2 linked regions of the Kluyveromyces lactis genome follow. Each later gene encodes a partner of the first gene's protein in a complex. Links are inferred from orthologs where the notes say so. Each region holds a gene or a part of one and is shown in the gene's direction. Other genes may lie near its edges.

The links. The genes of interacting proteins can lie anywhere in the genome.
Region 2: the proteins of ATG8 (region 1) and EDE1 are in contact, whole or in part, in a crystal structure (PDB 6WY6), measured with the Saccharomyces cerevisiae proteins. The link is inferred for Kluyveromyces lactis from reciprocal best matches to the Saccharomyces cerevisiae genes ATG8 and EDE1. Residues at the interface, in NP_009475.1 of Saccharomyces cerevisiae: Phe5, Ser7, Glu8, Tyr9, Pro10, Glu12, Lys13, Ala16, Glu17, Arg20, Ile21, Arg28, Pro30, Lys46, Arg47, Lys48, Tyr49, Leu50, Val51, Pro52, Asp54, Leu55, Gln59, Phe60, Tyr62, Val63, Lys66, Arg67, Phe104; in NP_009506.1 of Saccharomyces cerevisiae: Phe1226, Ala1230, Asn1231, Ala1232, Gly1233, Ser1234, Glu1236, Gln1237, Phe1238, Glu1239, Thr1240, Ile1241, Asp1242, His1243, Asp1245, Leu1246.

What each region holds. Positions count from the first base shown.
Region 1 is NC_006041.1:1,828,254-1,830,845, forward strand, and holds ATG8 (ubiquitin-like protein ATG8), read left to right. Parts: upstream 1-1,443; coding exon 1,444-1,818; downstream 1,819-2,592. Other genes in the region: isoleucine--tRNA ligase ILS1, read left to right, coding at 1-4; RTT105 (Rtt105p), read left to right, coding at 374-937; NUP170 (Nup170p), read right to left, coding at 2,493-2,592.
Region 2 is NC_006041.1:513,599-517,883, forward strand, and holds the start of EDE1 (Ede1p), read left to right. Parts: upstream 1-1,482; coding exon 1,483-4,285. Other genes in the region: RSM7 (mitochondrial 37S ribosomal protein uS7m), read left to right, coding at 1-681; KLLA0_E05765g (uncharacterized protein), read right to left, coding at 754-1,200. UniProt on the Saccharomyces cerevisiae protein: Functions at the internalization step of the clathrin-mediated endocytosis (CME) as an early-acting scaffold protein. Requires clathrin adapter proteins, ENT1/2 and YAP1801/2, for normal spatiotemporal dynamics and viability.

The sequences.
Region 1 (2,592 bases):
ATAGATGTTGAAATGTATATAAAGTGGGAAAAAATGTATAGCAGTTACGTTTCTCTAGTGAAACGAAACCCGTCCGTACTACTTATAAATTCACCACATTTAATTAATTTAATTGCAATTATTGGCTCCGTAGATCACCTCTGCTGATTCTCTAGCAACAGTCGATCTCATATCTTATTTCGAATATAATGTGTATATGTAATTCTAAGGCGTTTTCAGTTTATGAAGTTAATCGAACAAAAAACCATATCTCTAGACCAGCATCATTAAACGCCAAAAGGATTAAGGTTATTTCTATGTACGCTGGGGAAAGAAGCCTGGAGCAGGCCGTCCGGTGTATTGCAGACGTTAATCCACAACTTTGAAGCTCTACATGAACTGTATACCGAGCAGTCCGGTTCATGGCAGATATCACGAAGAAGATAGCGATTCCGATCTTGACAATGTCCAAAGTAACGATGGAAGAGCCGATTCTAATATCACTGATGAAATATTGGAAGAGCGAAAGCTCAAATATCAAAGGTACAAGCAACCGTTATCATCATCGTCCCCCATTAGAGACCTTATGAGAGAAAGAAGGAAGGGCAGACTACGGGAACTGGCAAGAGAGAAGAAGATCAATAGCTACAGAAACGACATGGAACAATTCGTCATGGAACAAGAATACCTACGACACTTGCAAGACATGCAACAAGAAGCACAGAAACACGAGATACCGCCAGATGAGATTGATAGACTGGTAGAAGATGAAGGAGAGGTCGTGAATAGTGCCGATGAACCCGCTATGTTGAATAATATTTCCACAAAGAGGGAGCCAAAACAGCTAAATGAGGATGAAGAGCTGATACGGCTGATAGAACTGCAGGAAGAGTACGAATCCTTGATGGAGCAAGAACAACAGGAGCTCGAGGAAACCTTATCTGGCTTTAGCATATAGAGCAGCAGCTTCCACACATATATACGTACATAGTATTGTTACCCGGATATCACGTGATTCATTTTCTGTCTTTCCCACGTGACTTAAGGGTCAACGGCATCTCAAACCGTTTAAGGGGGGAACACTTTTGTTTTGTCATTTTCCAAACAGCAGAAAGGGTATAAAAAGGGAACACACGCGAAGATCAAAGCGGCGCATATCATCGATAACTAAACAAAGAGCGTTTTTCTTAGCTACCCAGTAATCTGTTTGAGTTTTGCAAGAAAAGTGCAGTACAGTGCTATTACGTGCAAGTTTTTTTCTTGAGAGAGAGAAAGAACCAGAAAGACGGATAAAAAGAGACACAACACGATTCAAGAGTTGGAACAAATCAGCTAGACTTTTGAAAGTTAAGTTACAAACATCTTTTCGGGTTATTAGTTTGAAATAGAGACAGGAGAATATTTCAAGAGAGTTTGATTATTTTTATCGGTGTTACGTATTATAGGAGAGAGTTTTAAAACGCAATGAAATCTGCATTCAAATCTGAGTTCCCATTTGAAAAGAGAAAGGCTGAATCTGAAAGGATAGTGCAAAAGTTCCATAACCGTATTCCAGTGATCTGTGAAAGAGGTGGCAAATCGGATATTCCAGACATTGATAAACGCAAATATTTGGTGCCAGGAGATTTGACTGTTGGCCAATTTGTTTATGTAATTAGAAAGAGAATCAAGCTACCTGCTGAAAAGGCTATTTTCATCTTTGTCAATGATACTTTACCTCCAACAGCAGCTTTAATGTCTTCTATTTACCAACAACACAAGGATAAGGACGGGTTCCTTTATGTATCCTATTCGAGTGAAAACACTTTTGGTGACGATGCCCTGTTTTCTGAGGAATGAGATTAAGTTAAACTTTCTTCCCTTTAAGTTTTCTTTTATGATTCCATTAGGTTGTTCTGCTTGATGCAAAACAAGTAACTAATGCACAATTTTGAACCAGATATTGTTGAAAAGATGATCTAAAAGAAAGAACCTGAATAACAATATTGAAGTGATGATAAGATGAAATGCATTGTCGAATGTCTACGATGCTATTATTTTCTATTCTTCCACACCTTTTGCTCTAGATATATACCGAAGCAGTATTTGAAATCTTTCTGATATGTTTTCCCTTCTATTTATCCTATTCTCATATTTCTAGCTGCAACAGTTCCCTAGATCTGGACAAAGCGTTGCTTATAATACCTGCTGATGAAGTCATATGTTGCCGTTCCATAATGAAATCTCTAGGCTTTTTTTTTTCACTTCGAAAGAGGTTCTTCATAAATATACAATTTTATATACCTCTTCAGCAGATTGCAGGTCGAAATTCGGTTTAATATATTCTTTCCATAACCAAAGACTTATCGCAACATCATAAGAAAGCAATATTGATATTAGTTGTTTTGTTTATTAAGATTGGGGTGAAAATGTTATTTATCAATATAGTATACAAAGGGAAATAAACACCACAACAGACGTTTTAAACTAAAGCTGTTCTTTTTTTTACCATCTCGCTGAAAGGTTAGAGTAACTCAAAACACACTATCACCTGTGCGCTTTTTGTAATTTTCCAATGGGTCATTTTCAATTGAATACTTGTCGAAGGAACGAATTTCTTCTAGTGGTATCAAA
Region 2 (4,285 bases), about 1.3 Mb from region 1:
TCTGTGAATAATAATGCGTCTACAGGGGAGAAATTAGCTAGCCTTAGCGACGAACAGGTTGATGAATGGTTGAAAGTTATTGGATCGTTAGAAGAAGAGTTTTCGCAACAAGATTATAACCCAGCTACGTCCCTTGCACCAGGTAACCAATCTAGAATTAATATCTTGGAGAAGGCTATGGAATTGAACAAGCCCAGCTTTGAGCCAAGTCAAGAGCAAATAAATGAATGGGAAACGTTGAAGCAAGTTCCCATTCCAAAAAAACAGGATCCAGTTTTACAGCATGTAACGAATATGATTATGAGACACGGGAAAAGAGAAAGAGCTGAGAAGATTCTTTCAAGAGCGTTATATATTGTGTTCTGTCAAACAAGGAAAGACCCGGTAAAAGTTTTGAAAGAATCCTTGGATGTGTTGGCGCCTCTTATGGTTATCAAGACCTTCAAGACTGGTGTCGCAAAGGCCACTGTGGTTCCAGTTCCATTGAATCAAAGACAAAGGTTTAGATTAGCTTGGAAATGGATTGTGGAAAGTTCTGTGAAGAGATCATCGAGCGATTTCTCAGTAAGACTTGGTGAAGAATTGGTATCTGTCTTCAACGGTAATAGTTCAGGTTTCGAAAAGAGAGACTCTATTCATAAGACTGCTATTGCACACAGAGCTTACATTAACCTAAAATGATCAAAGTTCCAACCTCCACTGTATTTACTTGAATAAACCTGTACATATGTATACGTGAAATATAAATGAACGTTATCGATTTTCATAGTTATGCTGAATTTGTTGCTCTATCTTATATGCAATTCCTAGGCCCAGCAGACTTCCCGAAAAATTGGCCAAAATATCGTTTACATCAAAGGACCTTTTTCCTCGTGAGAGGAACTGTTGTGCAAATTCACTGCTCGTACTGGCACATACGCAGCATACAATAAATGCCAATAGATATTTGTTCATGGAAAAAGGTTCGTACGCAGCCAAATTCCTTGATCGTAGTCTTTTGGGGATGAATGCCGGCAACTGTACGGTATCACATTCAAACATCATGGTAAACAGAACGGTTTCAATGCAAAATACTATGCAATGGGCGAGCTTATCATGAGTTGATGTTATTAGCTTTAACCTGGCATCAGTAGTTAATCCGAGGAAGACAACAAAACATACACTCGAGAAAAATGTTACTGCGTATTTATATCTTATCATTTATCAATTTTCATAAAAACTCTCAATAAGAGTTGCATACACTCTACACAATTTCTAAATGAAGTGATAAACTCAACTCTCTCATCGCATTGGAAACCTTAATCCTACATCAATGCTTCACTTCTTTATGCGATCCGAAAGTCATCTTGCACGATTATATAGTTTCATCATCTTTTTGAGATAATTGAATAACGACAAATTGGATCAAATGGTCGAAACCCCTTTCGTGAAATATAGCCGATAAACTGCAACAGATACACATCCACCACGCCTCTGGGAACCATGTCAGGTATTGCGTTCCGTGTACCCCTCACTAGTGAGGAAAAGCAAGCATTTTCCCAGCACTTTTCTCGGTTAGATAGAGAACAATTGGGAATTGTGACTGGAGAAGCTTTAAGACCTTTGTTTAGTCAATCAGGGTTAACTCCGCAACAGTTGTCGCAAATATGGACCATTTGCGATACCGAAAACGCGGGCTTCTTAACTGTTGATCAATTTAACGCCGCTCTAAGAATGGTTGCGCACTTACAGGAAAATCCAGGTGCGCAAGTTACTTTAGAATTGTATCAGACTCCTGCTTCGAAGCTCCCTTCATTCGGACAAAGTCAAAAGTTCAACTCTGCTTCTACACAACCATCTATCCCACCACCATCAAATCAGTCTCATTCTGTCCAGAGAGTCCCCTCTGTTATCAATAGATCGGTGAGCAGAACTAATACGGGTTCGTCGCCAACTTATTCCGTCATTCCTGTATGCACTCCTCATGATTATGCCAAGTTTGCCCAATTATTTGACAGATCAACGGAAGAAAGCGGTTTCCTAGCTGGTAATAAAGCAAGAGAAATCTTCCTTAAAGCAAAGTTACCAACTCAAACTCTAGGTACTATTTGGGGGTTGTGTGACAGGAGCAATAGCGGAAGCTTGGATAAAGTGGAGTTTGTTATGGCGATGCATTTGATTCAGCTAACACTACAGCAAAACGCAGCCGTTCAAAACTTACCTTCTACTTTGCCAAATTATTTGTGGAATTCTTTGAATAGTACAGCATCTTCTACTCTGACTCCACTGAGCGCCAATAACACAGGCTTCTCTTTCACATCTGGCAGTGGATCTGTTGTCAGAAATCCGGGAATTATCAGAAAACCTTCTTTGTCCAGACTTCCATCCGGTACTTTTTCTAATGCTGCAACAGATTGGACCTTGACTCTTGAAAAAAAGCAGCAGTTTGACGCTATTTTCGATTCTTTGGATAAAGAGAAAAAGGGTTCCTTAGGTTCTAACGTCTTAGTTCCATTTTTTTTGACATCGAAATTGGGACAGGATGTCTTAGCAACTGTGTGGGATCTTGCTGATATTCATAACAGTCCAGTTTTCACTAAGGTTGAATTTGCGATTGCAATGTTTTTAATTCAGAAGAAGAATGCCGGGATCGAATTGCCAGATGTTGTTCCTGATCAATTATTAAATTCGCCAGCTTTAGGTTTGTACCATCAACAACAACAACAACAACAACAACAGCGCATTAGTGTAGCAAGCACCGGAGATGCTGGTCAAAATTACCAAAATTTTGCAGCTCCGGTTCAAGCTCAGAAAACCAGTAATAGCGCTCTGGATGACTTGCTTGGTCTAAATGAATCATTCACTCCTCCGCCTCCATCTCTTCCTTCCCAGCCACAATCATCGGCTCAGCCTTCAACACATTTGGCACCAAATGCTAGGAAATTTAGACCTTCATCTACATTTGGACAAACCATTATCCCTGAAGAAGGTGGTAACGACCAGCAACAACAACAACAGCAGCAGCAGCAGCAGCAGCAGTATATGCAAACTGCTCCTACACACGTAGGCTCTGCAGCTCCTCCTCCACCACCCACTGCACGTAATTCTTCGTTACCAAGTGTTCCAAACTTTGGAGGTGTTTCTGTCCCTTCGAGGGAAGTCACTTCTAACAATCGTGAAATTGTGCCACCGGCATCGCTTTCTCAGGCCACTACTGAACTTGCAAATCTCTCCACTCAGGTGAGTTCATTAACGACACAAGCTACGAAAGTTCATGAAGAGAAAACAGCTGCTCAGAATGAACTTACTCGTATAACTAACATGAAGGCATCGATCGAGACTAAACTCATTGGTTTGCGTGCGTCTTACAATGAAGAAGTTCGTCAAACGGAGGAGATACAGACGCAATTGAACGCTCTTCGTGCACAAAACGAAGAGTTAAGTCAACAAGCTTCTGTTGCAGAGGCAAATTATCATGCTGTGCAGACTCAGAACGAGGATTTGCAAACACAGTTGCAACAAGCTCAAGAAGAGGAAAGGCAGTTAAAGGAGAGGTTGGCCCAGTTTAACACTTTGTCCTCTCAGTTACAGCAACAGTTGGCTGAAGTTCAAGAGAATGCTAAAGCTGAAAGATCCAGAGTCGATATTCATGCCAAGCAGTTAGAACTTTCAGAGATGACTGCCAACAATCTTCAAACAGAAATTCAAAGTCTTGAACAAACCCTTGGTATCTACTTATCAAAGCACAAAGAATTGGATGACTACAAAGCTACTATTGAGGCTCAGCACGCTGAGATGGAAAACAAACATAAGCAATACCTTGCAACTTCTGAAGAAGTACATGCACGTGAATTGGAAGTTCAATCCAGAACAGCAGAGATAGAAAAGCAGGAACAACTATACCGTGATCAAGTATCGAGGTTGCAAGAACTATTTAATGATTTGAATAAAAGGAAGTCGGAGTTTGAAGCAGCAAATGCAGAGTTTGAGAAGCAACAGTATGACTATGCCGATAGAGTCCAAAAATTCTCTGAGAATCAAATGAAGTTAGCCATGGGAGAAACCCCTGATGATGAGTATACAAACGAATTGATTCAAAAAAGACTGCAAATTCAGACTGCCCAGCCAGCTGAGGAGGAGGAAAAACCAGAAAGTGTTTTCGACAAAGATGTTCCAACTCCTGTCTCACAAACTGAACCTGACGAAGAACAAAATCAACAATTAGAAGATGATCAATTAAGCGAGCAGCAATTACATGACCAGCAGGGTAATGATGAAGTTGCTGCCGAAGCGATGGCAGATTCTT